2 linked regions of the Kluyveromyces lactis genome follow. Each later gene encodes a partner of the first gene's protein in a complex. Links are inferred from orthologs where the notes say so. Each region holds a gene or a part of one and is shown in the gene's direction. Other genes may lie near its edges.

Region 1 (6,451 bases):
GTAGAGACTCTGCTTTAAGAGCTTCTTGAAATGGTGGAAGCTCATCGTCCAGAGACACTGCATCTATGGTTTGATTTTGTGCGAGCGATATTGGTTTCCAAGTGGGAGATGAAATTGGAGATAAAGGTAATGCCTGAGGTGAAGCCAATTCAGCATGAATATGCTCAGGCTGGTAAATATTAGAGGATAATTCTGGAGACTGCAACACTTTATTCCTTAAATTCAGTTCCGATATTGATAATTCGCTATGGCTTAGATTTCTGTGCTGCAGTAAACTCAGACTGGTTCTGTTGTGGGCCACAGGACTTAACGAAACAGGTGATAATCCAATTTTCTCATCTAATGGTTGAACTTCCGGAGACATAACTGGTGAGTTAATGACTTGTTTTGGGAAATATAGATTCGAATCATGATACATATTAAAATCAGAATCACCGAATGGTACAGAGCCACTGTGGGGAATAGCGGCATGAGTATCGTAGCTTGGAAGCAATGTATTTGCGTGAGAAGAAAGCTTATTCAAGACATGAATAGGTGAATCAATACTTATTTCGAAGTGTTTTTTGACGCCATCAACATTCTTCGACAATCTCAAACTAATTTTAATCCAATGATTTGATTTGATGGTCCCATATGAAGTGTCCGGATGAATCTTTTGTTGGTAATTAAGCCTTTCTGGGAAAAATACCTGATATTTGAAGTCCCTAGTTACCAAATCACCATGTTCATCTTCTAATAAATTTCCCAAATATTTAGCTTTAGTAGGTACCGCATCTGGTGGTAAATCTTTTATGGGAGGAGCTCTATGCTCCGTGAGTAGGAATTTTTTAGTTGGTTCAAGCCTGTGAACTTTCTTGCCTTTACAATAGTACTCTAATGTCTCAGTCAAGAATATTCTTATTCTGTGTAGCGCGACTTTATCCATAGGCATAATTCGAAATGCAATTGGTAGAAATGCATCAAGCACAATGTCTTTGGAAACAATCATGATATCATAATGTAAATGAGTATTCCAGTCTCTGGAAATTGCAATAGGTTCAGTTTCTTCTACTGAGTTATCGGATGGTGTCCTTACAATTGTAATAGGTAGCTTAGCGTTTACACCTGACTTGAAAGCACCTTGACGTTCGATATTCACAAGCAAAAAATACTCAACTTGACCGAACGTAGCAGTTATAGTCTCTGGATACGATAATGGAATAGCATGCTCAAAGGAAAAAATATAATCACCTGGATGAAATATGAAGGGACCAGGAGTTGCTGAAGACGAGTTTCCGTTAGACTTCACCGATGAAATATCACTAACAGAATTGGAAATAGAAAGCATGTCGCAAAAGGTTTCAGATACCATCTTGACATTTGGAATGTCCTTTGAAGTAGATCTTAAAAAATTCCCTATTGGAGAAAGAGACCGCATCTGTGCATTACTATGCCTCCTGGCCATTGGTTTATCCATATCATCGTGCAAAGGCCTGAATAACGAAGCGTTACTCCCTTTCAGTAAATCAGCAGGCTCTGTTGACTGGTTATTTGGAACACTTTGCAAATCGCTTTGGAAAAAAGGCCACGTATGTTTCACAACATCATTGAGCTCTACAAATTCTTGCTTCTTTGGTGGAATACCTTCAGGCCATTCTGTCTTTGACGTACCTTTGAACGTTAAATTAATAGATTTCAATTTTGTAGATTTTAAGACTCGAAGAATCAACGATCCTCTTAGTATAGCAGGTGGTCTTCCCTCCCAATGAGTCGGACTAAACCCTTGCAAAAAGATTATAGGCTCAGCAAGTTGAATGTATACTTGGAAAGAACTTGATTTCGCTAAAGGAGTAGCGTCCTTCGGTATTCCCAAATGAATATCCGAAGGAAACACTGGTGACATTACCGGACTCAGGTCAAAAGACATCTTTTGATTTCAGTTCAGAACCAGAAACTACGGTCAGCTATTACCTAGGGAGTTGGAAAGAAAATAGAGTCTCCCCTTTGAGTTGCGCTTTTTCGAAAACAATTGTTCGATTTAAACTGAAAAACCCTCGAAAAGATTAGAATAAACAAGTAATAAATTTGAAGATGACTTTCTTCTGGCTTAAATCCTGTACCTGCAACCTGCAATAAACTAGACAACCGTACTTAGACCCTTGAAACTCTGATGGCACTTACCAACGACCTCCCTACAGCTGATAAAAAGGTATGTTGCCTTTTGGAGAGCAGACATTCTTGAAAGGACATATTTAAGACTGAAAGCTTTTCTTTTTGATATTGAAAAGCTTAAATTGGAACCTAGGAAAAGGAACCGATTTTGTGTAGTATGCCAAGGAAAATAACGAACAGTTATAGAGTCACAGTTGAACCAGGTTACGGGGTTGATTTCAATGCAAAGAAGGTTCGACTCTATTTCTAGTTTTCATCTTTAAGTGCTAGTTTTGCTCAGTTTAATAACGGTTTTCTTTTCATGAATGAACGACGGAAGATTATCAAGAGAATACTTTGATTTGATTAAGGATGCACTTCAAGAGGAGGAAAAAACTGGCGGAAGCGGTAGCAGTTCACCTCGTAAGAGACGCAAATTAAGGTCTTTGCAGAAGGAACCAGAATTGGAATCGGAGAGCAATCGTGTCGTTATTACCATCGAATCGGACGATGAAGAACAGAATAACTACGATGATGATGATGATGATGATGATGATGATGATGAATATGATAGTGAAGAGTTCGAAGATGTCACTGATGCGCCTGCTAACAATGGAAATATATCAATTACTATAGATACATCAGCTCAGAAAAAGTCTACGAAGAAGAAGAAGAAAACTGAGCATGGGTTAGACCCTGCAGTGAAAGAATTTCGTAAAACATGTCATATGTTCATGCTACTTACTCTCGTGTGCCACTCATATCAGAGGAACGAATGGTGTAACGACGAGAAGTTGCAGAAAAAGCTTGCTAAACTGGTGTCTGACGATATATTCAATAATCTACATCCCCAAAAGGATGATGAGATGCCATTAAGAAGTACCCGGAAGTTGCTCGATGCATTACGTATGTTGATGAAACATTGGAACAAAAAGTTCAAATTAGAACTAACTTCACCGTACGAATTCAATCATTTATATATGGTTCATTGGGATTCGGTGTTGAAGCACAAGTGTGAAAGTGTCACATTCAAAACATTCAAAAAGTTTTTCACAAGGATGCGTGGACCAGCCAATATTAGTGTGCAGGGTTTTGTCACCATGCTGAGAGGTTGTGGATTGAACGCAAGACTCATTCATAGCCTTCAACCACCCGATTTCACTGATAGTAAGATCTACAATAAGCGAGTTGTTTGGAGCTTGGAAAATGAATGCCTAAAGTATCCGATATTTTGGTGCGAAGTATGGGATAAATTTGCGAAACAATGGATCACTATCGATATCGTTGGTCAAGAAATAATTGAACAAGTGCGTTATAAATCAAAACTAGAACCAATAGGTCGTATAAATTCAGCCTTCAATATGATGCGATATGTCATCGCTTTCGATAGAAAACAAGGCTGCAAAGATGTATCTCGGAGATACATAGCACATTTACAAAATAAAGTTCGAAAAAAGAGGATTACAAGAGAAGCTAAACTGAACGAATGGTTTAACAGCATTATAAAGTTTTTGAATAAACGTAATAGGAACAGGATTGATGATTATGAGGATGAATATTTTGATTTGCGTAATGAACACGAGGGAATCCCAGACAGCCTACAAGACATTAAGAATCATCCGTTCTACGTCTTAGAGAAAGATTTGAGAGCAAACCAGGTATTGAAACCGGGTGCTCAGCAGTGCGGCTTCCTTCGACTTCGTAATAAATCAAACTCCCTTCTCAAAGTTTTTCCAAGGAAAGATGTAATATCTTGTTACAGTGCTAGGCACTGGTACATGCAAGGAAGAGCATTGAAGTCGGGTGCCAAGCATCTTTTGACACACAAAATAAAGAATCCTGTCGAAGAAGACGAAGATGAAGAGAGGCTTTACCCCATTGGTCAGACTGAGTATGTTATTCCTAAGCAAGTGGATGCTGATGGTAAAATCCCTACTAATTTCTACGGTAATATTGACATTTATAAACCATGGATGATTCCAATAGGGTGTTGTCTCGTAGAAAATCCAAACTCGATTAAAGCTGCAAGCTTCTTACGTGTTCCATTTGCAAAAGCAGTGACGGGTTTCAAGTTCGAATCGGGACGAAGAGTTAAACCTAAGGTCACCGGCGTTGTTGTCGAGAATGAATACGTCGACGCATTGGTTGCTGTAATAGAAAATATCGAAGAATGTAACGATGATGCAGCTAGACATGAATTAGAGCTTGAGGCTTTGAACGGCTGGTCACTCCTTCTTACCAAACTCAGGATCAAAAGTAGATTGGTTGAAGAACATGGTGCGGTGGCAGATGAAGACGGCAGAGATTACTCTGGTGAAAGAGATAGCGATCTAGAAGATCACGAATCATATACGGGAGAAGACACAGAAATGGGCGGTTTCGAACAAGGTGGGTTCCTTCTTGATTCTAATATGGATGGTGGATTCGTGCCTGAACCAGAATTACAACATGCAGAATCTGAAACAGAACAAGTTGAACATCCACCTGTGACCTATGGTGAAGCAACTCTAGACCGCGCTGAACCAAGTAACACGGAGCCAAACGAAATCGCTGATGAGTTCGAACAGTTCTTGCAAGAAGTTGGATCGCAATCGGATGACGATGATTCATTTCAATATGAATCAGAATAAATCTCAAGATCACGTGAACTATTAGTGTAGCGTATCTAATGACTATGTAATAATATGGAAACAATACATAACATAAAATAAGCATCATGATGGAAGTTGATGTACCAGTGGATCAAAAGCAATCATCGCACAAGACTGTATTGTTAACCGCTGCTACGGTGCAGTGAGTATACATTAATCGATATTCTATCTACCAGTACTCCTGCTCTCTTCAAAGATATAGCAAAATAATGAGCTTCTTGGCTAAGTTACAGCAGTTGAAGCAGACCACTAAGATTAATGAACCGAATCATTCCGCAAACCAAAATAAAGCTAAATCTCTTCAATCTGAAGAAAAACTACTTCCCAAGGATTACGTTCGTGAAGTTGACCCGGCTATTCAAAGATTAAAGGAAGCGCGTAGGTTGAAGCAAGGTATATCATCCACATCGACTAAACCTGCTGCTAAGGCCAGGCATAAAGCGTCATCGCCGAAGGATGAGGCTCCAATTTATAAGAAAAAACCTGGTGTCAATACCACAAGCGGAAAGTATCCTGTCGTGGTACCGAAAAGGGAGCCAATCAAGAAACTATCGTTTGATGAATTAATGAAGCGAGCAGAGCAGAAGTCTAGGGAAGGACCAAAGGAAGACAAGAAGCCGCTCCCGAAGAAACTCGGATTTGATAAAGCCGCTAAACCAAAGGCGGCAACGAAAGATGCTAAACCTGTAAAAGAACCGAAGTCGAAAGTGATGGTAAAGTCTTTCAACCGTTTTGCACAACCAAACGAAAAGCTTGCGAAGAAGTTAAAACTTAAAGAAAAGAAACAAATTATGGCAAGACACGGAGATCAACATTATGACAGTGAGAATGACGAAGATCTCTCAGACTTTATTGAAGATGATGATTTAGACGAGTGTGAACAAGGCTCCAAATCACAACCGTACGATAGAGATGAAATTTGGTCTATCTTCAACAAAGGTAGTAAAAGGAAATACTTTGATTCAGATGATGACGACGATATGGAAGCTAACGAAATGGAGATCTTTGAAGAAGAGGAAAGAGCTACAAAAATGGCGAAGCTTGAAGATAAGAGGGAGCAAGCTTGGTTAAAGGAACACGAAAAAAGGAAAAAGAAACTGAAGAAAAGCCATTCATAAACATGTCAATGTACGAATTGAATATATCATTTATTCATCTAATATACAATTAATTAATGCATTAGTTGAAATCATAGATCCAAATGAAATCAACATTTTGAAGTTTGTGTACTATTATAAAATTGCTTTACAATATCAACTCTATAAATCCATAACATACTGCAAAGATTATGATAATGAAGATCACAACACCAGTAATATAATGCCAAGTAGGTGCAAACGTGAATCTTGAAAACATTAATAACAAAGACCATGCACCGAGAATTAAGGATATGGATAATGATATGAATATCATCGTCAAAATAGAAGTTTCGTTTTCTAGTTGTGTATCATCGTTGAGTGATTTGAACAAAGATGTCATGATACCAATGGTTACGCCTGTAGTCAAACAGGATATTAGCAATGAAGAAACATAGAAGAAAGATATCACCTGGTCATGCTCGAACTCATATATTGATTCTGAATTTTGTTCTTCGAGTTCCCAAAACTTATTCACGTCGTTTCTTTCCGAAGAAGAAGAAGTAAGTATGGAAGTGTCAGTGTCTATTGAGT
Region 2 (5,470 bases), on another chromosome or scaffold:
CACATAATTGTATCGGTTGCGGAACGATTTGTATAATGTACAATTTTGATACGTAGTTGTGTATAATTCATCTTTGATGGCGAAGAGCTGGGTGGATTCGCCAGTCGACAGATCCAAAGAACCTGAGGCCGCATTGAGGGAAACAGGCACGGACCATGATATATCACCGTACACGGTAAGCTCACGGAATCCTCTCGTAAGCAGTAGGAAAAAGGGAAACCCAACGATGCCCGGGTAACATATACATATCACTATACACGTATTTATTTGGTCCTTTGATTGCCGCCTGGCATTCCCAGGCATTGGAATGAGATGAAACATGTCACGTGACTGTACGGGAAGAACAGACATCCGCTATCTTTCCAGCCTTTTTGTTCCGTTATGTTGAATGGCCGTAGTAGAGGTTCTGTTACAGTGCGAAAAGGCGGTAATTGAGCCGGGAAAAAGTAGAGTTGCTTCTTATCTACAACAACTTACGGTCCCCAACAGTGCCCTGAGAGTTGAATCACTGGTTCCCACACCTTATAACTGCGTGTAGGGTCTGGCAGTTCCTTTTTATTTACCTTTTCCAAATTTCAGTTTATACACTTTTTTTTTTTTTTTTTTTTTGGCGAAGAAATTGAAATGGATGAAAACAATGCAACTATACAATCGAAAATAGTAATATTTTATAAGTATTTATTATGGCACAGACCATATTATCTGTTGCAAACGCTAAAGGAAAAAGGTTTGTCATTTAAAGCAGCCGATTATTATTCCAGAAGGTGTCATAATACACAGGGTTAGCACCGCCCAGGATTAGTGAGAAAGGAAGAACACATAAGGATCTTTTGACGAGCGTGCATTTTATAGATCTATTGTGAAAAATTGCGGTATCAAAATTTCTTCGAACAATAAAATACAATCGCTAAAGCTGTGGAGGAATAAAAACATCCGGATCCATCGCTCTTTACTTTTGAAATCACTTCTATTCTCGATTCCTGGAAATTCAAATATTCTACACAACGTCATACAACCGTCATAGATGGGCAGCAAGGGTAAGAGCAGGTTCAATGCCTTGACTGCTGTGTCCGTGATAGGATCAGTGGTAACGGGGTTTCTTATAATTCGAATGATTTTCCCAATCATATGGCAGTTCGTACCGTTCGTCTCAAGTCCTGTAACTGGTAACAGGTTCAGAAATATACCTGGAGTGGAATATTACGATTTAATTAATTATCAGGGGAATGCCAATGGATGGCAGACCGGTGATAGGGTGGTGTTCTGTGTTCCTTTGAGAGATGCAGCCGCACATTTGGATATGTTCTTCGATACCTTGGATAAATTGACATACCCACATAACTTGATTGATCTTTCATTTTTGGTCAGTGATTCAAGCGATGATACCATGAAAACACTTCTTTCTCATTTGAGAAGAGCTCAATCAAACCAAGACAAATCGAGAAGATTCGCTAACATTGAAATTTTTGAGAAAGATTTCGGTCAAAGTGTGGGTCAATCGTTTTCTGATAGACACGGGTTTGCAGCTCAAGGCCCTAGAAGAAAATCCATGGCCAGAGCTAGAAATTGGCTTGGGTCAGCGGCTTTGAAGCCGTATCATTCTTACGTGTACTGGAGAGATGTCGACGTTCAAACTATACCGAATACTATTTTGGAAGATTTAATGCATCATGATAAAGACGTCATTGTTCCAAACGTCTGGAGACCTCTACCCGATTGGTTGGGAAATATACAACCATATGATTTGAACTCATGGGTTGAATCTGAGGGTGGATTACAATTAGCTGATTCTTTGGATGAAGATGCTTGTATCGTAGAAGGGTACCCGGAATACGCTACATGGAGAACACATTTGGCCTACATGAGAGACCCAAGCGGCGATCCCGAGGTCGAGATGGAACTAGACGGAATTGGTGGTGTTTCCATCTTATCTAAAGCTAAGGTCTTTAGAACAGGTTCTCATTTCCCTGCGTTCTCTTTCGAGAAACATGCTGAAACTGAAGCCTTTGGTAAATTATCACGTAGAATGCAATACAGTGTTGTCGGTCTACCTCATTATGTGATCTGGCACATTTACGAACCTTCAAGTGACGATTTGAAACACATGGCCTGGATGGCCGAGGAAGAGAAACGTCGGGTTGAAGAGCAAAAAATTCAAGAGTTCTATGCTAGAATTTGGGATATTGGTTTCGATGACGTGAGAGATGAGTGGGAGCTAGAAAGGTTACAAATTTTGAAGAACATTGATCCGAATGTCCTAGATAGGAAGATTCAAGTGGACTGGTCAGATGATGATGAAGCAGATGATGGTTCAAGGAACGGAGGAAATAATCAAGATTCACATGAAGTACCACTGGACTTTGATCCTGCTCATTAATAATTTTCTGTTTAGGCAGTGAAGAGTAAAGAAGATTATAAAACCCACAAATACATTCTTCACTAACGAGATATTTTTTAAAAAGATATCTTAACCATCTAATTTCAATTCTCATCGCTTCCATCCCCTATTATTATTCAATTATTAGGCAGACTGTAACACGTTGGAGTATCTAGTTGTACAATATGCACCTTAGATCATTATCGAGGTTTTTATCAATAGACTTTTTTTTACATTTACGTTTAAATGCATTATATACTAATATTGTACTTGCAATAATCTGTTCATTTTGTTTACTTCAAACCATATTACTACTGGTAACTATTACAGGCAAGCAAATACTGAAAACACGTTATCAAGCTGCATTAAGCTGTAATTTTCAGCGTATTCCGGAGTTCTGCATCTTGTCAGATACCTTCAGTTTTTTTTTTTGTCAACATCGAAAATGAAAGTTGAGAACAGTGAAAGAAATTGAAATTAATGCCAAATCAACTTGAATCTGATGGCTGGGTGGCAAAGAAGATAAAGTCAAGAAAACAACCGTTGAGACAAAGTCCAAGAAAATCACAAGCATAATGCTTATTAATTTTAAAGATTTCAAAAAGGAAAAACTACCTATTGAATTGGCGGATGATGCCACCATTTCACACGCCAAGGAATTGATCGCTGAACAAAAACAGTGCGATGCATCTCAAATAAAGTTGATCTACGCAGGTAAGATACTCCAGGATCCTAAGACCGTATCAGGATGCAATCTTAAGGAAGGGGATCAGGTTATATTCATGATTAGCAAAACTAAGAAAAAGGCTGATGTTAAGGTAACTGAATCCACAACTGAACCCCAAGATGAATCTCAAGCCACTGCTTCTGCAGAAACTTCTGCAGTTGCAAATGCACCTGCGGAAGCTACAACCACTGGTACAAGAACAGGTACTACTGCAGTTACACAAGAAGAAGGGACGACTGATGCTTCGTTTGTCACTGGTTCTCAACGTAACGAGACTGTGAACAGAATCATGGAAATGGGTTATGATCGTGAACAAGTAGAACGTGCGCTTAGAGCAGCATTCAACAACCCTGACCGTGCAGTGGAGTATTTGCTTATGGGTATTCCTGAAGCCAGTGAGCCATCGCAGCAACAAGCTGAAGCTGTAACTAGTGAAGCTGGGGCGAATGCTAATTCTGAAGTTGCAACAGACGTGCCATCACAATTCACTGAACATGAAGACAATTTATTTGCACAAGCAGAAGCCAATAATGGCGAGCAAGGTCATGAATCCGCTGCTGGTTTAGGTGGAGAAGAAATGGGCACAATCGGATTGACTATGGAGGACATTACACAACTTCGTGACGTTGTATCTGGGCGTCCAGAGGCTTTAATGCCACTTTTCGAGAGTCTAAGCACGCGTTACCCACATCTCCGTGAGACCATGCTGCAAGATCCACAAAGGTTTATCTCTTTGCTATTAGAAGCTGTTGGCGGTTCCCTAACCGATTCTTTGGGTGAAAATCTGGGAGATGACATAGCAGAAGGTGATCTAGGTGATTTCGGGGGACAAACTCAAGGCGCGCCTCCCAATGTTACTATCTCAGCAGAAGATGAAGAAGCTATCAATAGACTTTGCGAGTTGGGTTTTGAGAGGACCTTGGTGGTGCAAATCTACTTCGCATGTGACAAAAACGAAGAAATTGCTGCCAACATGCTATTCAACAATTACGCTGATTGAATGTAGTATGATTTTTCAATAAACCATCGTCTCTTTAGGCATGTAGGGAAAGAAGAATATGTTCAAAATAGAAAACAAAAATAATTATCTCTACCAAATTTGTTTAATAATATGGAATATGCGTACTCATATCTCCAGCATGTAGTGTTTGCCAATCCAAGTATGACCTCTATACCGTCAGATTTTCCTACTACAGCGAAGGCATCCCACATATTCATCTTCCAATTTTTGCACACATACGCACTCATAATGAGCAGTTATACTTAACCAACCTTAGTCAATCTGCAACAGACGGAGCGTGGTATGTTCGATCTCTTACTTCCAACTTCAAGTAGGATTTGTGTTACAATCAATCAGATATCCCCTTCATTAATTTTTTTAAATTTATTCATCATTACACTATATCCTTAGTCCCAATTCAGAGAACCAGTGTACCTTAGACATGTCTTATATAGATGAGAAGTTATTAAGCGCTTTATATTTTTCTGCATTAGATACCGGGTTGTTTCCAGGCCTCAATGCCAAGATGGTGCTGATGCCTACATCCAAAGCTGCGTCTAACTCCTTGTCATTGTCGCTAATAAACACAACATCACTTGCTGATGATGGAGGCACTCCAATGCTTTTGAGAATATTGGTGTAAGATTGAGGTTCAGTTTTCTTACCGGACGTGTTAATGTCGAAGTAGCCAGCAATGGATTTCGTTAAATCGATGTCCCCTTCTACGTGTTGGAACAAGAGTATTTGCGCCTTTACTGACCCTGAGGAGTATATGTAAACATTAGGAGCATGTCTCTGAATGAAATCAATTGCATCTGGATACACTGGCGCCTTGATCTCACCACTCTTGTAACCCTGCTCCCAAATATACCCTTGTAATTGCTTCAACACGGAATCCTTGATGTCGTTATTAACTAGCGATTCAATATGTTCATGCAAAGAAGAAGCATCTTGTGGGACAGGAAATTGGGCAAGTAAGTTCTGCAAAGTAGGGTCATTAGTCTTGACAAGAGATTCCACCTGTTTCAAGAAAAAAGGGTATAGCGTGTCTTTAACAAATGAGATAGGGCAAACCGTACCTTCAATGTCCAAGATATATTTCAATTGACTCATTGTCACTTAATTGAAATCTCAGTTTTCCAGTAAACGCAAATAACTGTGCCTTAAAGCTCTTTTTTCTAATGACTGTGATTAATTCCAAGCTCCTATTCACTAGGCGTACCGAACCAACATGGTCGTGAAGAACATCAGATTGGAATAGGTTTACAAAATATTCAGTTTTACAGTTTGCGAGATGAGATGCGGAAATCAGTCTTGCGAGAATGGAATGAAGCATAGGCAATGTTGGACAACGGCTACACCTTCC

The links.
Region 2: the proteins of RAD4 (region 1) and RAD23 are in contact, whole or in part, in a crystal structure (PDB 2QSF), measured with the Saccharomyces cerevisiae proteins. The link is inferred for Kluyveromyces lactis from reciprocal best matches to the Saccharomyces cerevisiae genes RAD4 and RAD23. Residues at the interface, in NP_011089.4 of Saccharomyces cerevisiae: Lys138, Arg139, Tyr142, Phe143, Met145, Leu146, Tyr147, Val149, Cys150, Leu151, Val153, His154, Phe156, Ile157, Arg158, Trp161, Gly224, Leu225, Arg228, Ile233, Glu234, Ser236, Lys240, Arg241, Lys242, Phe243, Lys244, Thr245, Leu246, Lys247; in NP_010877.3 of Saccharomyces cerevisiae: Leu265, Arg266, Gln267, Val269, Ser270, Gly271, Asn272, Pro273, Glu274, Ala275, Leu276, Ala277, Pro278, Leu280, Glu281, Ser284, Leu290, Arg291, Ile294, Met295, Ala296, Pro298, Glu299, Phe301, Val302, Leu305, Leu306, Gly347, Ser348, Phe349.

Annotation. Positions count from the first base shown.
Region 1 is NC_006042.1:1,339,308-1,345,758, forward strand, and holds RAD4 (Rad4p), read left to right. Parts: upstream 1-2,456; coding exon 2,457-4,760; downstream 4,761-6,451. Other genes in the region: ALY2 (Aly2p), read right to left, coding at 1-1,906; SPT2 (Spt2p), read left to right, coding at 4,991-5,899; VTC5 (Vtc5p), read right to left, coding at 6,027-6,451. UniProt on the Saccharomyces cerevisiae protein: Involved in nucleotide excision repair of DNA damaged with UV light, bulky adducts, or cross-linking agents.
Region 2 is NC_006041.1:1,973,269-1,978,738, reverse strand, and holds RAD23 (Rad23p), read left to right. Parts: upstream 1-2,952; coding exon 2,953-4,104; downstream 4,105-5,470. Other genes in the region: KLLA0_E22177g (uncharacterized protein), read right to left, coding at 1-351; ANP1 (Anp1p), read left to right, coding at 1,025-2,377; putative acireductone synthase UTR4, read right to left, coding at 4,552-5,217. UniProt on the Saccharomyces cerevisiae protein: Plays a central role both in proteasomal degradation of misfolded proteins and DNA repair.